Linked DNA regions of Struthio camelus. The protein of the gene in region 2 interacts with the protein of the main gene of each other region in a pairwise test. Links are inferred from orthologs where the notes say so. Each region holds a gene or a part of one and is shown on either strand. Other genes may lie near its edges.

Region 1 (6,933 bases), on a different chromosome or scaffold from region 2:
TGGGTCAGCAGCAGGTTTCAGATATGCAGATCCCCTAAAGAGCACAGAGGAAAAATTTTTATTTCATAGCTTTGTTTTACATTTAAAGCTATATAAGTATTTAAGAAGTGTGTTTAAATTGCACTTAGCTTACGCGGAACACGGGTAAGCTATTTTGTTCCTCTTCCAAAACACATTTTGCTAGCAACAGTGCAGCAGTAGTAAGCATGCTCCCAATGACAAGCGATATCATCATAGCAGTAGTGTATTCCTGCACATATTATGGCAGAAGTCCCTTTCGTGGAAGTGGTTTCTTCCTACTTAGGCTTGTAAACAAACTTATTTAAACTATGGTGTAACCAGAATTCCTAGTCCCCCTTCACAAAAGCATAACTTTTCATCTGTGTATTAAAGACCAAGAAAACTTCTAGCTGCAGCTGTATAGTCATCCTGCAGCACGGATTTCCATCAGCACTCCCTCCTCTATTTTCCCCCTGTATGTTTTCTCTACAATTTTTTTTCTCCTTTTGAGAATCTAATCTTAAGTCCCAGGTCAGAACCTTCCCCCTCCATTTCAGGTGGCATTTAAGTTCTCTCCCAGAATACGAGAGAGGCAAAATTAGCAGACATCAAGCAAAAAAACAAAGTTTCATAAGGGGCACTCTCCTCATGACATTATCCAATATTTTCACTACAGGCCAGAAGAAAGCACATAAATATTAGAAACGACACCCCCTGGATGAAGGTCAGTATGCTACACAATAACCCCACAGCTGGAATTATTGAACACAGCTTAAAACTTGTTCCAGTTATTTCTATTGGTGATAAGCTCTTCTAAACACTGTCTTAAAAACAGTCACACGCAAGGTCATACACTTGTAAAACACCAACCATATTACAGAAAAGGGAATTGTATCATGGAAGGCAATGACATTAAGGTCTTTGGGCAGCACTGCAGATACCATGTCGGCATTAATTCCTCACAAATCTGTGGCAAAAGGACTAACGGGAACCTTGGAAAGGAGTATCAAGGAGAAAGACACTTTTATCTTTTTATATTGCATCAGGAAGATCAATAATGGACTGTCGCCCTCCCATTCAGGGACCAAGTTTTAATACAATGCTGGAAGCCAGAGACACTGCTGAAAAACTACAAGAACGATCCCAGTCCTGAAAGAAATGCCTTTCTGTGCAAGTTAAGTCTTTTCAAGAAGGAAAAGGCAGAGTGATGACTTAGTTCTCACCAAAGGCTAACAATGAGAAAAGAGGTCCAAGTCTTCTCCATACTTAACCCAGCAAAGGTATAAAGAGATGCAACGACTAAAGTTGTAGCCAGAAAAGCTTTTGGCAACGAACTTCCTTTTAGATTACAGAGATAATTCATGAAATTAATCAAAATATAATCAAAAGTGAGAAAGGTGTCTTGTTGAAAGGTGTCTTTAAGTCCTCTAGCCCCAATCGAAGGTTATAAATTTCAATGCAATCGGGAGCCAAAGCTCTGCGGCAGCCTGCAACGACCAAAGTGTCCCAAGAGTGTATTTTTAACCCCGCTCCTGCTCTCCAGCGCGGAGGACAACACGCCGACAAGCACACCTCTAGATTGTACCCCGGCCATCCCCAATTTTAATATCAGCAAGTCGAAAGGAGACTGCCTCACACCCACGGCGACACGGGATCCCGGGATGGGACTCCGGCGGAGCATGAGCCCTCCCCTGCCACGCACCCTGCCCGCCCCACACCTGGGGGGGGGGGGCCACCCCCTCCCACCCCGCTCGCAGGCCATACAAAACGGACCCCCTCCCACAAGCGAGGGATAGGCCCTCCGCCCCCCCCAAAACCTGCTTGTCAGCCCCTACCCCACAGGCTGCCTTATCTAATTAACATCGATGGTCCGCCCCTCCCCCCATGGCCTGCCCCCCCAGACCTGCTGTCCCCCCCACATCTGCTCACCCACACCTCCCCCACTCGCAGACCCCTCCCAGACTCGCCCCTCCCCCACTCGCTGACCCCCCGACTCGCCCCTCCCCCACTCACTGACCCCCTCACATGCCCCCCCACTCGCTGACCCCCCGACTCGCCCCTCCCCCACTTACTGACCCCTCACATGCCCCTCCCCCACTCGCTGACCCCCCCGACTCGCCCCTCCCCCACTTACTGACCCCTCACATGCCCCTCCCCCACTCGCTGACCCCCCCGACTCGCCCCTCCCCCACTTACTGACCCCTCTCACATGCCCCTCCCCCCACTCGCTGACCCCCCTCAGACTCACCCGTCCCCTCAGACCCCTCCCCCACTCACTGACCCCCCCAGACTCGCCCCTCCCCCATCCCAAACCCCCCAGACTCGCCCCTCCCCCATCCCAGACCCCTCTCACCCGCCCCTCCCCCACTCGCTGACCCCCCCCGACTCGCCCCCCAGACCCCTCCCTCATCCGCCCCTCCCCCATTCGCAGCCCCCAGACTCGCCCCTCCCCCACTCGCTGCCCCCCCCACACACTCGCCCCTCCCCCAGACCTCTCCCACCCCTCCCCCACTCGCCGACCCCCCCCACACTCGCCCCTCCTCCCCAAACCCCCTCACCCGCCCATCCCCCACTCGCTGAGCCCCCCCCCGCCGGGGGCCCCCTCCCCCACCCCCTGCTCCCCCCGGACCCGCTCCCCCCCTCCTCCACCCACCGCCCTTCCCCCTCCCCACGGCCAGGAGCCCGCGCCGCCCCGCAGCCCCCCCCCCGCGGCGGCCACAGCGGCCCGGCCGCTGCCGCAGCGCCGCCCTCGCCGCGCAGGCCGGCGGGGCGCGGGGGGGTGACAGGAGGGAAGGGGGGGGCAGGGGGGTCGGCCGGCGGCACTCACTCGGGCAGGTAGGTGGAGGAGAAGCTGCTCCAGCGGTGCAGGGTGTAGCCCAGCACACGGCTCTCGGGGCCCGCCGGCCCTGCCGCCGCCATCTTGTTGTCGGCAGCGGCCGCCGCGGCGCCCGGCAGCGGCCGCCAGGGGCGGGGCGGGGCCCGCGCGCTTAAAGGGGCCGCGCGGCCGGGGCGGGGCCGGGCCGCGCCAGGCGGCGTCTAGGCCGCGGCCGTGAGGGGGCCGCGCCGGCGCGAGTGGGCGGCGTGGGCCGCTCTGGGGGGCCACCTAGGCCGCGGGTGCCATGGAGGCCACGCGGGCTATCGGTCACGAGGCGGGAGTGGGGCCACTCGGGGACATGCAGGTTGGGGGGCGCCAGGGGGGCCACGCGGGCCGCGGTCGTGAGTGGGGTATGGGGCATTCAGGGGGGGCCACGCAGGCCGAGGTCGTGAGTGGGGTGTATGGGGAGTGGTGTCCCCACGGGTGGCAGGCCACGCGGTGCATTGGGGGCCGTGAGGGCTGTGGGTCACGAGTGGGGTGTGGTGTCCCCAGTGGGGGTCTTCCAGGCCTTGCATAGGCTCTGGGGTCTCCCTGAGGTGTAATGGGGGAGCTGGGTCACTAGTGGGGTGCCTGGGCCTTGGGGTCCCCATGGGTGCCACGCCGTGGGGCACAGTGGGGGCCGTGGGTCACCAGTGGGGTGCCTAAGCCATAGACTGCCAGTGGGAGACGTGGGGGCCACACTATGGGGCACCGTGGGGGCCACGGGTCACCAGTGGGAGACGTGCCGCAGGACTAATTTTAAGGGCAGCCGTGGGGTTTTGGCGATTTTCACAGCAATTTATGGTGATCCCGGAGCTTCCTCCCCACCTTGAGGCTCATTTCGCCCTGGTGAAGAAGTTTCTTTTCCTTCTGTCCGCTTCTCCTCCGCGCTGGGCTCGGCGTTGCCCGAGCAACGGCAAGACATCCTTTTTACCCTTGTCGCTATGTTTTTGGGGACGGAATGATTCCTCCCTCATCTCTTGCGTGTCGTCTGTTTTCCTCCGCCAGTCAAAGCACCGCTGCATGGATTTAATTAGGCCGTGGTGTCTTCTTTTTCCATCCCAGAATAACTTAAAATTAGAGCCCGGCCCGTCAGACCGAAGCCGCTGGTACGTAGCGGGGAAAGGGGTCGAATAAAACCGGGGCGGGATTTTATGGCGCGCTGGCTCTCTAGCTGATATGTATCGTAAGTCAGCTTAGTCGTTCTCCCCTGCTCCGTTTTATTAGCTAAATGTTTGACTGTAACTTTTTCTACTGCAGAAGAAGCACCAAAAGGAAGAAACTTGTTTCGACACTTATTACGCCATGTTAAAATGCTGGGGTTTCATTTTTTCCAAAGATGGATTAAAGCAATTAAATATACATGACAGTAAATAGATAAAAAGTTAATAATAAGTAGAATTAAAGTTCGAACAATGATGTAAAATCGATTAAAGTAACCTTTCTTGCACGTCCGACGACACGAACGACGGAGCATCCCAAATGGTTTTGTGGAACAAACTAGCGGCAAATCATCCTCCGTGTTTTCACCGCCTTTTCATTCACTGCAGGCACGCGTTTGCAGGGTGGTTGTTTTTGTCTTTGCAGCGGATTCACTGGTGCGTGGACGGAGTCACTTGTTTTACCAATTGTCCCATTTGCAAGCGATTGGAAATGGAGCGTCGGGAGCTAAAATCAGTCAGAAGGATTTTTTTCCTTGTTTCTGGGCTTTTTTTCCCCCAGTCTGTACCGCAGCTTGCCTGCACGAAGCAGTGGCCTGCAGGGCCTTGCCATGGGAAAAAACACCGCCTGTTTCTCATGCCTCCTGCATCATCTGATTTAATAACTTGGCGGAGAGCTCTGCCCGCCCCTGCAGAGCCATCCCGGCTGGTAAAGTGGGTATTCCTTGACAGGTGTCTCCAGGAGGACTTGTTAAAGTTTTTTTCTGCATTTTAAATTATTTCTTTATTTTTCTTTTTTTAAGGGAGCCGCAGAAGGGAGATGGTTTCACCGACGGCGAGGTTAAGAGGGAAGGGGAAGGTTTGGGACATCGCTGCGACGCCTCTGGGCTGCTCAGGAAAGGAGGTATTTCAAGATAAAGATAAAAAAGCAAACAAACAGATGTCAGTTGGAAATGACAGATTGGAGAGTTATTATCAGGCAGGACAGAAAGATGCCTGAGTAGATTAAATTAACACAAGGATTTTTCCCCCTCCTCCTCTTATTTTAGGAGAGACAGTTGGAACACAGCAACGAAACCTGGCTGCGGATGAAAAATTCGCTCAGCGGCGTTGACGGCTGAACATCAACTGCATCGTTCAAAAGGTCTCCATGCCTTGACGAGACCCGTTCCCTGAGCGGGGACGCAGCGTTTTCCTTAGTATCAGCGCAGCTCTAGGACAGCGCAACAGTGGCCGTGCACCGAGTACAAACTTCTTCAGTCATTCTGGTAACGAGTGTGCAAGTTTGCAGCCTTCCTGTGGCGTTTAAGATTTCACTCATCGAGACTTCTGCTTGAGGACTTTTTTTTTAATTTTTTCTTTTCCCCCCACCCCCGGCTACTGCAGAGGTAATAGTTTATGAAGGATGTCGCTAATAAGATATTACCCGCTCCAGAATAAGAGATGCTATGTCATAACTGGGAGCCGAGAAGAGCTCTCGGCGATGCCGAAATCAAACCTGTGACCTCTGCGTACGCAACTTGCGGAACTAGGAGCAAACGGCAGGCGAGGGCCCCGCACCCGAGGAGGGAGCGTGGCGGAGGGGCTGCTGGCATGCAGCAGCAGACAAGCTCACGGCTCGACGTGAGGGTAAAACGCCCCCGGGAGCCACTTTGCCCAGGATCCCGTTACTGCTCCCCTCAAGACCTGGCCAGGCAGGACGCAGTAACCTACTCCCTGAGCCAGCTTATTTTTAGCACGTTTTTGACGAAAGGAATCGAACGCCAGTGAAATCCACTGCAGTGACAGTTCTGGAAAATCTTTACTCCTCCAGAGCACAGGATTGGGGCAGGAAGCGAAGAGGCTGCAAACCGCACTGGCAGACCTGTTCTCCCGGTTTTGGGGATCGGTCTGTCCGGCTGGTGGGAACGGGGAGAGCACCGCAGCTCTCCGAGCAGGCTTTGCGCGGCGGGAGGAGCACAGCGTGCCGAGGGCCAGAGTGACACATCCTTGGCCAGCCCACCGGCCTCCAGCTGAGCTCGCCACATCCTGCTCTGGGAGGCTGCCAGCGCTCGATCGCGGTGGCGTAAGAGGGACTCGGAAAACATGATTACTTGGACCCGCTCTCCTAGTCCATGGCCACGTTGTGCCAAGACAACGCCGCATCCATGGGACCTGATGGGTCCAGTGGCACCGCCGCTGCCCTGCACCGCCTCTGGCCACAGCTCAGACACGTGGCTTTGGAGAAGCTCATGAGAAACCCCAAAGAGGGCAGTTATGAAGCAACCAGCCTACAGAGGAGGCCTATTTCTGGCTCTGGAGGGGAAGTGAGATCTCTTCTAGCAGCAACAACAGGTCCCTGCGGCGTTTGGAGGGGCTGGACGGTGCCTGGGGCGGTAGCTGGAGTTGCCAGGAGAGGCCAGGGCGACCCCAAGAGATGTCGTCCGCGTTGCTTGGCCAGGACAATGCGCAAACGGGTGCGAATGCCAACATCACGCTCGTCGTCGAAAACCTTGAAACCCGACCGCGGACAGCTCGGGGATTTGACAGTTGTTTGTGGCTGCCTGGAGACAGACATTTTGCCTGCCGTCACAGACTCGCTCCACTGCTGCGTGTGTTTTGAGTTTCCTCCTGCACAAACCTGCGTGGGCGTTTGGGTATGTAATGAGCGCATAGTTCAGGATGAAAACAAGTTGCGTGGAAGAGCCAAGCAACGCCAAAAAAATGAAAGCAACACAAACAACAACATGGCACGCAGCCATACCAGCTAGACCGTGGGCCAGCCGGATCTCACGTACTCTCCGGAGCTGCAGAGCGGATCAGCTGTTGGAAAAGAGACCTTTAAAGACAAGCTGGAGGAAATAGCGTTGGCAGCGCAGGCCACCGCATATTTCCTTCCAGAGCAGGACAGAGCCAAGGACATTAGGCAGAGCTGTAACA
Region 2 (7,820 bases):
TAAGGTAACAGAAAATACAGGAAAACTGCTTTTGATTATGAGCTTTGGACAGACCTGTCTTTTTCCTCCTTCCCCCTGACTATGTTGGTCTGGAATACAACAGATCTTTATTCATACTCAATGTGTGATTCAAATTCCCTTTCTAAGAAAAACATCTTCCATTCTTTCATCAGTGCTTAGATAGCTTCAGAAGTACACAAAGTGCCAGTATTCCACAAGAAGATACTTTGAAAGCTTTCAAGACTTCTACTTGGAATTGATTTGTAGCATGAAATCATGTGAAATGTTCTCTCTGTCTTCCCTATTCTCCTCACTGACCTTCTTAATTCTCTTCTCTTTTATCTTATTCTTCAGGATGAGGGTTCTGGGGGGGAGGAGAGGTAGCAGATGTTTAGTGCTGCTTCTTTCCCAGGTCTCATGGGTAGGAATGCCCTGATACCACTCATTGCTTAGCCCGGTTAGCACCTCCAGGTGCCAGGCTGGTAACATATACATAGCACTGCTCTAATAGCCACCTTCATTAAATTACCAGGAAGAAAAGATGGGCCACTAAAGGGGCCACTCACTCCCATTTGCAGCTAAGAGACAGAAAAGTACATACATATTATATTTGCACCTTTCCTTTTCACACTCCTCTGGACTAATCTAGGAACTCTTCAGCCTTCACCTCACACTATTATTTAACAGCTAAGTAAAGGTGCTTAATTATCATAACCTACCAACCGTGCTGCGTGACTTCTGGTAGAACATCCAGAACATTACCAGTATTTCAGAAGCACGTGCAGCCTGCTGTAATTTCTTTGAAGTATGATTTTCTTAACACTTAGGCAAAAGACAGAAGAGAGGAAAGAGCGGAAAAGCGCCAAGAAAGCTTGAAAATATACTTCTACAATTACACTGACCGACCAGAGAGGTTCCATCTCTAAATTCTAGTTCATAAGCAATAAAAGTCAGTCAAAGCAAAACAAATAAGCAGAATGACTTGGTGGCCATAGAGCTATGCTCATGCCATGAAAAACACCACAGCCACTAAGCACCAGAAAATACAAAATGCTTCTAAAAATACAAGGTCATAAAACACTGAACAAAAGCCAGGAAATTCGGAGTTGAATACTAAATAACATGTCCTTAAATCACTCAGTGCCTCCCTGAAACCAGCCCTATAGCTAGTCATCAACCTCCAAATTTATTAGCTTTGTGTGGTGCGTTAAACTTAGCATTTTTAACAGAGTATTTTGCATGTAACAGTAAAGCCTCTCTGTTAAAAAAAAGTCTTATAGAGTACATTTAATCCTTTCATGGTAGCCAAATCCTACCATGTGTTTGTGTTGCTGTTTTCCTCCTCTGATTAAACAGTAACATGTTTATCGAGATTTCACTTGAATTTCACTACTGTAAACTCTGAGAAAGGGTAATTGCAAGGTTGTTTTTTCCCCTCCCATTACGTTCATTTGACTACAGACTGACAAAAGATCCAATTCTTCACAGCCAGCTCAGAAGTGGTTTTCAATCCCCAACACTTCTACTTTAGGACTTGGGCCTAGAACACCAGATGTGCCTGTGTTTTTTTCAGGTCGGCGTGTACGCGTGTGTTTCCAGGTTCTATGACATTTCATAACAATCAGCACTTAAGTTTCTCTACTCTTACCTCCTGCTGATTTATACAAACACATACTTTCATTTTTATCTTTTCTTAGGAGATCCGTAACCTTAACTCTGAAGCAGGTTAAGCACAAATCTATAAAATCACCCTGTTTCATGTAAGTCCTATTGTCACTCCTTCCCTGAAATCACTCTGCAGTCTGTACAATGCCCAGGCATGCCTACAGTCAGTGACTTTAATTCCATTTTTCACAGTTTAAAAATAAAACCTGTTTTTCTCTGTGCTTTCCCCTCCCCATCATTTCCGTGTTTAATAGCTTAACGCTTGCTGCTCTTAACTCCATTTAAGCCTTACTCTTCTCGACAGAAAGAAAAAAAAAAAGAAAAGAAAACAACCACCCCACACTTCTTTTCTCGCTCATTACCATAAACAGGACACGTCATTCCGATTCTCCTTTATCCTCCTGCCTTATTCCCAAACCTTCTGGCGACACCTGAATCCTCGGAGGAAGTCGGAGAGTTTACATAATGCCCCCTCCACAAGCAGGAGCAGGCGGGGGCGGCCTTCGGCTCCCCCCCCCCCCGCCCGCCCCAAACACCAAGGCAGCAAAGGGGGGAAGGGAAAGGATAGAAAATAAAGCTGGAAGAAGAAAAAGCATGAGCTTCCTGCTCCGTACTGCGCACCATTTAGGGGTCCAGAAACAAAACAACATGAAAATGGAGAGAAGAAAGAGAGAGGGCAGCGTGTGCTGTTTCCTGTTATTGTTGCTCCTGCGCCCGCCGCCGGGGCCGGGCCGGGCAGCTGCCCCGGGCCCGGGCAGGGGGCGGCGGCGGCCCTCACCTTTGTAGTGCACCCGCAGGTTGTTCTGCGAGAGGCCGATGTAGCTGAATTTGTCCTTCGGGCTCCAGGAGCGGGGCAGCGGCGTCTCCTGCTCGTCCACGGCCGGGTAGAGCCTCTTCAGCCGCCGTTTCAGCTCCTTCTCCTGCTCGTTGAGGGCCGGGTCGCCGTGCGGGAAGGGCGCCGGGGCGCTGCTGGTGCCCCCGCCGCCGCCGCCCGCCGACAGGCCCAGCCCCGCCGCCGCCGCCGACCCGCTGCTGGCGGCGGCGGGCGGCGGCGGCGCGGCGGTGGCCGGCGGCGGCGGCGGGTGGAGCAGCAGCGCGGCGGCCGGCGCGGGGCCGGCGTTGGCGGCCGGGGCGATCGCCGGTGCCGCCGGCGGAGCGGCGGCCGCCAAGGGGAGCTGCGGCGGCGGCGGCGGCGGCTGTTGTTGCTGCTGTTGCCCGGACATCCCGGCTCCGGCCTCCTCCTCCTCCTCCTCCTCCGCCGCCACCACCACCTCCCGCGGTCGCGGCTGTCACCGGACGGGCCCGGGGCGGAGCGGAGCGACGGGCAGGCCCGGGCGCTGCCGGAGGGTTACACGGCTGGTCACCCCCAACCGGAGCGTCCGGGGGAGGGAGGGAGGGAGGGAGGGAGGGAAGGGGCGATGACGACGGTTGCGGCCCCCGGGGGTGCGCGATGGGAGCGGGGGGGAAGGCCCCGGCGCGGCGGAGCGGAGCGGAGCGGAGGGAGCTGCCGGCGCGAGGAGAGCGCTGGGGAGGCGGGGGGGGAGGGGGGAAGGGGGAGCGGCGCCGCGCGCCGGGCGGAAGCGAGGGCGGGCGGAGAGCGCGCGCCAGGCGCCGCGGCCGAGCTGCCTCTGCTTCCCCCTCCCCTCCCCTCCCCTCCCCTCCCCTCCCCTCCCCTCGCGCCTCGCGCGCGCGCGCTCTGTCCAGCCCCGGCGCGAGACGCCGCCGCCGCCGTGCGTCCCCGAGTCAGCTGAGTTCGGCTCCCTGCCCCCCGCCTCCTCCTCCCTCCCTCTCCCCCTCCCCCGGCGGGGCGAGGGGCGGGGCCTCCGGACCTCGGCGGGCGCGAGGCCGGGCCGTTGTGGGGCGGTTGGCTGGGCGCGCGCCGGGGCGCGAGGCCGGCGGCGGCGGTTACACCCCTTCCCTCCCACCGCCGCCGCCGCCGCCGCCGCCGCCCTCGGGGGTTAGTTGTGCCGCCGTCCGCGCAGACGGATGCAGAAAAGAGATGGCGAAGGGGCTGGCCTCGCCTCAGGGGTGACCCTCGCCGGACGGGCCCCTGCTCCCCGTGCCGGAGTGCGGTCGCCATGACGGCAGTAAACCGAGGCCCAAGCGGGATGGCCCAGCAGACGCTCGAAAGCTTGGGGGTTCCTGGACTGACGAGGGCGGGAAAAGCAGAGCAGTGTTGTTGGGCTTTTTTTTTCTTCTTCTTCCCCCCTTCTCCTTTGGCTTGTGCTTTGAGGAATATTTTTGCCTATACTTAATGTCAGCGGTTGTCTGCGCTGAGATTTCACGTGGTGACAATGAAAGAGAAACACCTACAAACAGGAAAGCCTGGCTCTGAAAACACCAGAAGAGGAAGGGGATGTCACAGACGGGTCTAGAACCTGAAATGTTAGGCGCTTTACAAACCCATTTCCGGCTGCCAGCCTGTTGGAGAACAAGTCCAGAAGCAGGAAATAGAGGAGGTTAATTATGCTTCCACTGTGTGAAATGGCAGATGAGGTAATATGAGTGTGACACTCAGAAAGCCTTGTAAGAAGCGAAACATCGTTCTGTGCCTGTAGTCACCAAAATATCCTGTCACATGAGACAGCTCTATGATGACTTGTAGCATCTATGGCTCGGCAAAATCTGATATCTATAAATAGCCTATCAAAGAGAGCTGCAAACTGTACGAAAGTAGAAACATCTAGGATGGAGGCCAGAATACATACTGGATCCTACCTGGTTATCCTGGCACTGGTAGGCTATCTCCCAGTAGGTCCAAGTTTGATTTGTAATATCTAGAGGTTAGTGTAAACCTAGGAGCTTAAGATTAAATTTAGAAAATTTAGCATTTGGTTAGCATTCACTGTTTTGATTTGGGACATCTTGTTATGTTCATAAATGTAGATGTAAACATCCAACCCTTTTCTGAATTTCAGGGTTTTTTTTCTGTTTTGCCTTGGCTCCTGACTGAGCCAAGTGTCATAAGCTCACTTATGTTTGCGCAAAAATATTTCAGTCACCCATTCTGAATTTGCCACCATCGAGTTCCTGTTCTTGTACAATGAGACAGGAGAGCAGGTGTTTCCATGCTGAACTCTTGACGTTATTTGCTACTCTTTTTGCTTATCCTCTGTCATTTATCAGTCTCTAAGGTAAATAGTCCCAATCCATTAAAACACTCTTTTTTTTTTTTTACAAGTGCCTTTTCCTCAAAATATGCCCCGAGGCAGATATGGAAATCTCCTTGTCCATATCACTTTTTCTGAGGTGGGATGTATTGTACACTGTTCCTGAGGAGAAAACGAATTTCTTTTATAGAGGTATTCTAATACTTGGTGTTAATCAGTATGTTATTTATTCCGTCTGTGTTCTAACAGCTTATTTGTTTTCTGACTACAGCTTCTTTTGGATTAGAGAGGTCACGTAGATATTTACATAAATGGCCAGTTTCTGCTTTTGAATTGATGTAAATAAATTAGAACTTGTCAGATGTAGAAGCAGTACACGTTTTCCTCTCTAACATGCATTATTTTGCATTTTCAGCATTGAACTTAATTTACCATTACACGATCCATTCCATTTTATTAGGTTTTCCTCATCATCACATTCCCCTCTTGTCTTGCTTAACTGAAACAATTATGACAGCTGCAAATTTTACAGTCTCACAATACAATCATCTTTCCAGATCAGTAGCAAATACGGCAACAATAGGAGACTTGCTACACAACCCTGAAGCAGGCTGTCATTGACCTTCTGCCATCACAGCAACTAGCTGTTGAATCCTGCTCTTTGTCTTCTGTCTCCAGTTTCTGAGTTGTGATAGTACTTTTCCTCTTGCCCGGTGATTACTTAGCTGCTTGAGTCATTTCTGGCTTAGAGACTTAATCAAAGGCCTTTTGAAATGCTATAAAAAGTGAACTAGTCCACCAATATCTCACTGGTTTTGGGGTGGAGTTTGTTGACAGTTTCAAAGAATTTTAGTGGATAGATCAGCTAGCAATTACTTTGCTTTGCAGAAAGCCTGATCAGGCCTAATTCTACATGTGGAGATTGTCTTCTCTCTGCGTGCTTTTTATTTACATTTACTTTTAGTGACTCGTTCAACCAAAGAAAACACAATCTAAGCCTTGCAGCAATTGAGGGCATTTCTTTGGTCTCCCGTTGGACATATCAACAGGGTGTCAATATGTCCGACAGAGGTTTTAACATCAGCGCAGGTGATTAGTTCCCTCTCTCACTCCAGGACCCTGGTCCTGCTGACAAACGTACTGCGTGAACATCAGCTCACCCTAGGGACTCCAGTCAGTCCTCTCCTTGGGGAATCCGGAACTCGAACAGAGGCCAGAGCAGCCCCTGACTGACACCCTCTAGACAGTATCGGTAAGAATAATACATTCCTGGTTGCGTAAGCACATCCTGTTCTCAAAACAGAGCATTCTGCATGACTTCAGCACTGCTGAGGTTAATTTAACTCTTGGATCCTGTGTTAGCTACTCTTCGTGTTTTCATTAAGGGTGAATAAGTGGGCTATAGCCATCTGTGCAAGTGATGCCGATAGCATTCTGGCTGTCGTCAGGAAACAGAGGCAGGATCCTCCTTGCGATTCTATTTCTGTGCATGTCCTTTGTCCCTCCTTAGGAGTGATCCTCATGGTAGTTACATGTGAATTTAGCGTGGATGCTAGTAGCTGCTACAGAGACAAATTTGCAGCTACTTTCTCTCTGAAATGTAATATCGTTTGTAGTGATGGTAACTGTTTGCTGTTCTTTGTTTAGTATTCCTTCTGCTTAAGTGCAATGCATACTTTCTTTGTAACTGTTTCAGAATTAATTTTCCATGCTTCAAGAAGCTGCTTGGAAATCAGCGGTATGATATTTATCTTTGTACCTACTGTGCTGAATTGCTGTCCTAATGAGAAAAGAAAACCACTAAGAAGTATGCTATGGTATTTCGACAGTGCTAAGGACAGATCTCTTTAAACCACCTGGAGGATTTTTGCTGAGCCCTTTGCTATTTTGGACTATTTTTTCCTGCTGATTTAATTGCTCATATATAGTATGGGCCCGATGAACTGACAAATGAAAGGCTTGCAAAAATGAGTTACGTATGAATTATAGGCCATCATCAGCTATTAACTTTGTTAAATCAAATGGTAATCGAGTTGCAATTTACAGCATTACTATATTGCTGCTCGCACATAACACAGCGCTTCTGTTTTTACAAAACTGAGCAATCCGCTAATGAAAATAATTTTGCTGTATGAGTCAAATACACCTGCGCTTATCTTAGACCAAGAGTGATTGGAAATCTCTCTTGGTTGCCAATGATTCATGTGTGGGTTTTTTATTTAGTTAGTTAGTTTTGATACTTGAACAATAGCATGTATACATGGCAGGAACGGGCTTGTTTTCTGTATTCTGTTCTTTTCCCTTCCAGTATCTAGAGGAACACTGTGAGGTACTGGGATTTCAGGTTTTATGGAAGTATGATCTAATCTTTGAACAAAATCTCACCACATTTAATCTCTATAATCCAGTTTCTTACCCTTGAAGCTATCTGTCCTTTTCTGATGGCCAGCTGCATAAAGTTATTATCGTAAAGTCAGATCATTTTCAGTTTGGAATTTAGCTTGATAAGCTGCATTTTGTTGATGAGTTTAAAGTTGATACATAGTTACTTTATGTTTTTCTTCCAAGGTTTTGTTATTTGTAGCTCTTTACCATATTCACTTTCACACTGAAGAACAAGTACTTTTGATCATTTTTTGGTGCATAGGGCATTTTTTGCCCAGTAACAAAAGACAGTTTGAGGAGAACTGAACATCTGTTCATTATGAAAGATCATAAATAGAAGATTTTGTAGTCTTTGTTGTCTGGGCCACTGTACAAGCATCGTATTCTAATTAAAATGTCAACATGAGCACAGAAATAAAATGCCCTCCAAGCTGAGTAAAATATGTTTTACTCACAAGACAAATTTATGTGGGTGCAAAATAGAAAATATGATGAGACACACTGGTTTATTCCTTTTGTGAAAACAGATATCAAACTGTAACACGCTATTAGAGAAGTTATTCTCAGCAGGTCAAGAGCTGTTTCTGAGTCATCATAATTTTCTACTGAGGGTGCAAGCAAGCTGGCATGTTTTAAATGTTGAAATATAAGAAAAACTGT
Region 3 (8,023 bases), on a different chromosome or scaffold from region 2:
TATTCCCCCAAAAATATTTCTAAAGAAGCTGAGATTATGGCGCAATGGCAACATGCAGCACTGGGTAAGAAGTCACTGTTGCTTTCACTGGGGCTAGATTAACAGAGGTGAGTAAGGGACAGTGTTTCAGATTTTTAAGCACCTGCCTCCCAACTCCTAGCATTTCCAGGGTAAATTAGGTATCCATCCTTGCTTTTAAAATCTGATTTCTAGTACCCTCAATCTGTCTCAAATTTAACATAAACTTCAAGACTTAGCTCTTCCTGAGCAGGTGTGGTGCAAGAAAAAAAAAGAAAAGGAGCTTTATATGACGTCAAATTCAGTCCAGTGAAAGGTTTGCTCCTATCTTCCGCTGGATCCAAGGATATATGAGCACATGCACTCATCATTTGCATCATGCATATCAACTGGGAATGACTGGGAATACTGGCATCTTAGTACACCTTGCAGCAGGAAATAAATAAAAAAGTTCCCTACTGTAGTGGAGGTAGACTAAACCTACAGAGAAGCATAGAAAGGAAATGCATTTTTGTGTTACTTAAACCACAGATCCTATTCAATCATAACATGTATGTTCTTCTTCATTCCAAATTGGTAAATAGCTGCATGATATTAATTGGGAAGCAACTCTGTCATATGGAAAGCTGCTCCTGCCGTTAAAGCACAGCAGACCTGCATTCAGTCTGTCTTTGCCATACAATTTCTGGATGGTGTTCAAGAAGCCATTTAATGTTCTTGTACTTTCATCTGTAAAATGAAAACACATTTTTGTTTTCTCCTATTACTTCTGACTTTTGTTTTTAGATTGTAATCTTTGGGAAGACGCTCTCTTTAAACAGGTATCTAAATGCAGGTGCCTTGTTCAATTTGACTTTGCAGTGCAAGCGTAATTCAGTTAATAAATAAAAGAAATATGAGCATACCACAGGTTATATCCAGTATATATACATAATCCCAGGGACAACTTGAGGCATATTTCTCTGTCGACAACCATCCTGGCTCTGTTATATTGTGCATCTGCTTTTTCTCGCAGAAGGATGCATACAACACTTGCTCAGACAATTGTAATCATGCCCCTGTTCAGAAGCATTTCTACAGCTGTATCTTAACATGCAAATAGCCTGTGTCTCAGGCTGACCAAAACCACACAGCAGTACAGATCTTCCCAGTGCTGTATATTTAAAATACAGCCTCTAAAATGTAGTTAAGCACTAGGTTTGTGGATTGCTACGGTTTGAACCACTGATGCATGTAATGTAATCTCTAGTCGCATTAGGTCTACAAGCCATGCTGGTTTTGACCTCCCCAACATGCTGCTACACACTGAAGGAACCAATCTCTGCTGTGCTGCAGCATCCTACCTTGAGCATTTTTCTTTTCTCTAGCTAGTGCTCCCAGTGCCGAGCGTGCCCTGAAGCCTCCCCGGTGCTGCTGGCCTGCGAGCAATGTCTGGCACCAGCCTCAGCTTCCACCTGTGAGGTCCCTGCAGCCGTGGCACCCGAGACTGATGGCTATGTGGCTGCTACCCTACTGCAGTGAATGTCAGCCTAGCTAGCCCCAGTGTGTTTTTAGAGTTCCCTATTACCCTGACTCCTTGGGAAATGTACAGTTTGAAGGGAAAAAGTGAAGGATGCTTTGAAAACTTGGGGAAACTGGGCGGCCTGGGGCTGTCCCGGCGGGGATGGGCGCACCCCAGGGCACTCCCTCCAGCAGCGCCCCGCTGGGCTCCGCTCGGCTCCCTGGCTGCTCTTCTCCGCGTCCCTCCAGATGTTGAAACCACGAGGAGCCAGGAAGGAAAGAGGCGCTGGGTGAGCCCCCGTGCCGGGCCGGGTCCCCGGGAGGTGGCGATGTTCCCCCACCGAAGCGGCCCGCCCCCATCCCGGCCGGGTAAAGGAGCCCGTTTAATCTCGCCGCCACTCGCCTTCCGCGAGAGGATCCCGATTTACCGCTGTGGGGTTTCTCGTGCGTGGAAGCCACAGACAGATGTGAGGGACCTGGGCAACACCTGGGCGCGCTGCGCGGCGGCGGCCGCCCCCCGCCCGCGGCTGGCGCGGGAAAGCTGCGAAATGGTGCAGCACTGCCGGATAGCTTGATTTCCTTATAGTGCGCGCGATCCTTTTATATACATCTATCTGTCTACACACATGTATACACAGACAGACACACACACACACACACATATATATATTTATATCTCAACGCCTTAGGCCGGGGAGCTATAAATCCAGAAGACAGAGGCACTTAGCCGTGACGCTGTCTGCATTTTGCTTGTTTGGGAGAGGTGAGGGGAAAGACGCGGGGATGTGCGCGAGTGTCTATACCCAGACGCTCACGGGTAGTGGCTACAGTCACTCCTGCCGCCCTCCTGCCTCGGCGGCCAGGTGTGACGTTCGCGCCGCTGCTCGCTCACGGCGCTCCCAGCCGCAGCCGCGTCCCCCCGGGGGCCGGGGCAGCACCTCCCCGGCTGCCAAGCGGCGCTGAGGGGCCGCGCTGCCCGGCCGGTCGTCACGGCCGCCGCCCCGTCTGAAGAGCTGCTCTCCCCGGCCACTCGCCCCGCAGCTTTCTCAAAAGCCTCCCTCCCCCGCGCCGGGGCAGGAGCCCCAACGCCCCGCCGGCACAGCCCCTTGCGCACGTCCCCCCTGCCCCGAAGAGGCCCCGGGGGGCGCGGCAGCTCCGCGCCCGCCCGCCCGACGGCAGCGGGGCCGGGGCGCTGCAGCCGACTCACCGGATGATGACATACATGACCAAGAAGTTGCCGAAGAGCCCCACCACGCAGACGACGGAGTAGAGGGCCATGATGGCGATGGCCGTGACCACGGAGGGGCCGCCCGCCGCGGGCGCGCAGGGCCCGCCGCCGCCCGCGCTGCCGTTGCCGCCGCCGCCGCCGCAGGGCTCGGAGCGGTCCCAGCCCGCCGCCGCCGAGCCGTTGCCCCAGGCGCCCGACGGCGCGGCCGGGCAGGGCGGCGCGGCGGGGCGGCAGGCGGCGGCCGAGGCGTTGGCGGCGAAGGGGGCCTCCAGGGCGCCGGCGAGGAGCGGCGCGGAGCCGTTGCCCAGCAGGTAGGCGACGGCCATGGCGCGGCGGGGCCGCCAGCCTCGCGGCCGGCGCGGCGAGCCCGAGTGGCGGCGGCGCGGGCGGTGCCGGGCAGGCGGCGGCGGCGGCGGCAGCAGCGGTGCCCGCCCGCCCCGACGGCGCGCCCCGCCGCTGGGCGCCGGCACGTGTGTGCGGCGGGCGGGCCCGGGAGGAGGAGCCCGGGGCCGCCGCGGGGAGGGCGGGCCGGAGGCTGGGCTTCGCCCGCCACTGCCCTTTCTGGCGCGGCGCGGGCGGCTCCGGCGTTGCTGGTGTCGGCTCGGCCCGCCGAGGGCGCCGCAGGAGCGGGCTCGGCTCTGCCCGAGGTGAGCCCCGCCGCCCCCGGCAGCTGGCGCGGAGCCCGGCGCGCTCCTGCGGCGCCTCTGGAGGGCCGTGAGGAGCGGGGGCGCTCCGGCAGATCTGCCCGCACAGCACTTACAGTGCTCCCTTCCCGAGCCCCGAAAGCACCGGTGGCCAACCCGAGTGAGACGGCACCCGGGCAGAATGACTTAACGGGCTGCACGCTGGGGAGGGGAGGCGATCAGTGTGCAGCTATTAGCATCGCGAGTCAGGGGCCTTGACAAAACGTCGCCCTCTCTGATTATATAGCTTGGAGGAGAGAGCGCTGAGCCTAGTAATAAAATGTGGTGAACCGTACAGCACCACGCTGGGAGGGGATTGTGACCAGAATTGTGCTTTAGAAATGACTTGGATATCACCAATCCTCAGAATTTTCAGAGGACCTGGTGCTTCACTGCTCCAAGGATCCTCTCCCATAGACATTGGTGTGATTGTTATCAGATAGGAAGACACAAAAAAAGTATCGAAACTGGAAGGCTGGGGACATGTATTGTGCAGTATGTTCGCCTTGCACGCTCCTTATTTGCATCGGCACATTTTTGTGCTCAGTTTGTTGCTCAGTTGCTTGACTGCTTGCAGGTTCTTCATTGATTAGTAGAACCAAGCTCTTCTACTGTCTCATCAATGAAATCAAAGGAGATCCTTGGTAAGGGAGAAAAAAATCTCCAACTGGGGAAGAAGGTGACAGAGTGGGAGTGATTGCTCCTCCTGCTTCATTGCGGACTCACGCTTAGTGCATCTGCTTGCCCTGTGCATAGCACCTCCAGCTACTTCAAGAGTGTAATGGCAAAAATGGAGAAGAGGAGGCGAGTTGCACCATACCAGAGAGATGCAAAAGGACAGACGTTTTAGTCAGAGTTGTTCCTGCGCTTCCATGATACAGGCAATGGCAGCTAAAGTCGATTAGAGCAGGTAATGCTAGTAGAGGTAGACCACATGCTCTTCCTAAGTGTGATCATTAGCCATGGGGAGGAAAGCGAGGAAAAGGGAAAAGGATGCCATTGGAGTGGGAGAGGGCCATAGATCTGGGTAACGGCTATTCCTTTTTTAAAGTCTTATATTGTCAGGTGTTGTCAGAGATGTAATGGAATAGAGGAGGAAGATCAATTAAAGCTGTTAATGGGTGCTTTTTGTAGATAACATGTATAGCTTCATGGCCACAGAGAGTATTCTGAGCATCCTTTTGATGAGAGAGACATTTAACGTCATATTAAAAAAAAAAAAGAGGAGCTTTAGAACAGGACTTATATTCTCTCTGGAAAAATCTGTGAGAGAGTGGAAATGAAAGCAAGAACTCGGAGATTTCACATGCTCAAAATCACTGCCTCTTTATCGCCTTATGAAGTATAGCATAGTCATACACAGAGCAGGAGGCACAAGGCTTTAATGGGCCATTCTCAAACACTTGTATTTTTGAGTATGTGCATAGTGCAGGAGCCTCTCTCTGCACTTCCCCTTTCTTCCACCAAAGTCATCAGAAGATTTTCATGTAAGCCTCACAATTTGTAACAGTGGTATCTTTGGATGTGTACACCTATTCCTGGCTGTGTGAGGGATAGAAGATGGGTAACAAAACCCAAGGCTGCTGGGATGTCCTGTCTGAATCCTATATTACAGCCCATATGCCCGTATTTGTATTATATTTCAATCATCCTGGCTGTCAGAAGGGCCTCTGTTGTCTAAAAATGCATATCTTAAAAAAGTCTTAAAAACAGATGCCCGGGTGTTCTAGTCTAGTGTTATATACAAGACTATAACATTTAAGACTGAAAAATTAATACATCTGATTAAATCAACCTCTTGGCAGATGCAGATGAAAACTTGAACTGTAAAGAGGATTGGCAGCAAGCCCTGGGAGCTGAGCCTGTTTAAGATAGGCCTCATTAGACAAAATTTCAAAGGTAAAGGAAAGAAACATAGTTAAATGCTCATCACAAAGCTATTACAAGTGTTATTTCTCAAGGACATAGGCAATATGAAATAAATCTTAACAGTAACGGTTTCAGATGGTGAAGGACATTTTCAATATAATAATACATGAGACCATTTCTTCAAATAAATTCAGATAATGAAGGTCTGGATAGTCAACACTCTGCTGAAAAAGTACTTATGGAGTTGTAGACCTGTATTTCCTTCCTGTGGGTAGTAGCACAGTGCACACAGAAAAGGGAAAGACATGGCTTTGAGACTGTACATGACTGAAAACCTATGAGAGAGCCCAGAGATTACCAGTATGCTCCTGGCAAAATTGAAGTCTGTGCTGAGACCTCTGTTAAACACAGGGGTATTAAGTGAACTCTAGTTTTACCCTGGTATGGATATGACTGTGAAGATATGCTTGCTGCAGTGGTGTCGTTTGCTTATTTCTTAAAGGGAAGCTCCAACATCAGGTTGGTGTCAGAATCACAGCTTTCATGTTAAATCAGATTTTTGCTTGGCAAGTTCCTGTTTAGCTGTAACTAAAAATGGATGGGCAGAGAAAGAGTCAAAACTTGAACAAAATTCTACAGTGAAAATAGTATCCTAAAGACTGTCCTGGGAGTATTGGTCGGTGAAGTTGCTCTGGTACAGTTATATATATCCACAGTGACACCAGAGTTTCGTGAAGCAGGTTCACTTCCACAGTCTCTTTGGGATTCCTAAGCTAAATGGAAACCATGCACCTCACTTAAAGCCAAAGTAAAAAACAGAGCTGAGAGACAGGGTGTAGCAGCTTGGCACTCTGTAAAGGTGATCTCTATCCTATGGTGGTGCACCTCATTTCTTCCAGCAGCAGGGAAGGAAGGGGTTTGGGAGCAGGCTGTGCTCTCCATCAGGCTTGCTGGTGGAAGTTTTCCTTCTCCAAGCAAAGTGCAAGAGCAAAAGCCATGCAAGGTCTGTCTGTCCTGAGCAGAAGGAGTGGGAGACATTACACAAGAGTGGGCAAGGAGGATGGGATCTCAGTAATCCCACAGCCATTTTCCGCCATAGTCCTCAACTGGTTGTGAACCCCATCAAAGACAGATCCTCCTTTTTTCTCCTGAAGGACATCCTCAAGGCGATATAGTGATAGTGTTTTGGTAGCAGTATTGCAAAGATGCGCACTTTAAGTCATACATACCATATGAACAGGCTGCACGACTCTTGTTTTGGCTGGGTTTGGGCAGAGCAGACTTGTGCACGTTTAGAACAGACGACGTGTGGCCTTAACTTACGCCTGTACAAGATGAGTGTAGAATTCTACCGTGTTAAAAAAATAATTTCATAAGGTCTTGGGCAATAAGAAAATGAGATCTTATATCTTCTTACTATGTCAGACTAGTCTGTGGTGCTCACTGTGCAATGTAAGGAAAGTGTTGTGTTGAAAATGTTATTTAAGAATTTTCAGGCAAAGTTCTTAATTAATTTATAGTTTCAGTGGCCAGAAAGGACCATTCTGGTCATACTGTCTGATATTTTATGTAACACAGGTCATAATCTCTCTGTGTTGTGTTTCTTCATTTATTCTTTTACCCAAAGTGATGCTAATTGATATTAGCATTTCTCAGTCTCCTTAATTTCAGTCCAGTGTTTTAAGCAAACAATGTATTTCTCTCCAAAAATAATTAAAATCTCCGGTGTTCAAACTGTAGGAACTTTAAATATGATTTTTATATAATGATGCTACACAGTCCTGAGACCTGGATGCATAACTTAGACTACAGAGTTCAGATGATGAGAAATACTCATCATCTGAATTGTAGAGTTCAGCACTTTTTTTTCCACTTTTTTTTCAGGATTTATAAAAATGTTTAGCATTGCTCTTCTTTTGAAGAATCAGCTCCTCTTCTTTAGAGATGATGAAAGTTTTGTCAGCAGAAACCAGAGAGCTAGCTGCAGAAGAGGAGGTAAGAGTAATTGTTAAGTGATGACTAACGAGAAGGAACACAGAGGCCAGAGTATGGCACGGTTGCTAGGAGGGAGGCAGCAGTGAGAGGAAATATCCAGGATATGCGGGGCTAGGGTAGGACAGTGGTGTGCTACAGTAAAGAGGAGATGGATACGTGCTCATGGAGTTAAATGTGAAGCCAGCTCAATTTAGATGTCTACTACAAGTCAGTGTCAGAGACAAGATATTAGATGCAAGGTAGATCATTGCTTTGATGTAGCAGGGCTTTTCCTTCCTTGTTACAGATGTTTCGTTGTGAGGGAACCAGATGCTGACTTGGGAGGGTAAGGGTTATCCTGAGTCCTGCCGTTAAATTTATGTGTGCATCATGTACAGCAGTACGTTTGGAGTTATTGAGTAATTTGTGTTCTGTGCTAGCCAGGTGGGGACAGATTTGCTGAAGGAAGAGATTCTAGAGCGGCAGCTGGGTGTCCTAGAATGCCACTGTGAATTCTGGAGCTCTAGGAGTATGTACATGCTCATTACAGTTTCGATCCCTAAAATTAATTGAAGACTTTAAGAATTTTGATACTGAAATTCTTGCCTGATTTTCTTGCATATGGATAATAATCATGTATTAATAGCTCATCCAGGGTGTTGGTCTCCAGTCAGTTATCTTTGTGGAAAGTAGAGGTTTCTGTTTTCAGCTTTTTCTTCCATCACATCAAAAAAGCAGTCTCGGTCATCTG

What was found.
Region 1: the proteins of RANBP9 (region 2) and MKLN1 interact in a two-hybrid assay, tested with the Homo sapiens proteins (2 studies listed by BioGRID). The link is inferred for Struthio camelus from reciprocal best matches to the Homo sapiens genes RANBP9 and MKLN1.
Region 3: the proteins of RANBP9 (region 2) and OPRM1 interact in binary tests that used the Homo sapiens proteins (3 or more experiments, as listed by UniProt). The link is inferred for Struthio camelus from reciprocal best matches to the Homo sapiens genes RANBP9 and OPRM1.

Annotation. Positions count from the first base shown.
Region 1 is NC_090942.1:4,288,697-4,295,629, forward strand, and holds the start of MKLN1 (muskelin), read right to left. Parts: upstream 3,012-6,933; 5' UTR 2,920-3,011; coding exon 2,828-2,919; intron 1-2,827. UniProt on the Homo sapiens protein: Component of the CTLH E3 ubiquitin-protein ligase complex that selectively accepts ubiquitin from UBE2H and mediates ubiquitination and subsequent proteasomal degradation of the transcription factor HBP1.
Region 2 is NC_090943.1:97,936,133-97,943,952, forward strand, and holds the start of RANBP9 (ran-binding protein 9), read right to left. Parts: upstream 3,027-7,820; 5' UTR 2,889-3,026; coding exon 2,444-2,888; intron 1-2,443. UniProt on the Homo sapiens protein: May act as scaffolding protein, and as adapter protein to couple membrane receptors to intracellular signaling pathways. Acts as a mediator of cell spreading and actin cytoskeleton rearrangement.
Region 3 is NC_090944.1:79,751,736-79,759,758, forward strand, and holds the start of OPRM1 (mu-type opioid receptor), read right to left. Parts: upstream 3,073-8,023; coding exon 2,726-3,072; intron 1,021-2,725; exon of another isoform or gene 1-1,020. UniProt on the Homo sapiens protein: Receptor for endogenous opioids such as beta-endorphin and endomorphin. Receptor for natural and synthetic opioids including morphine, heroin, DAMGO, fentanyl, etorphine, buprenorphin and methadone.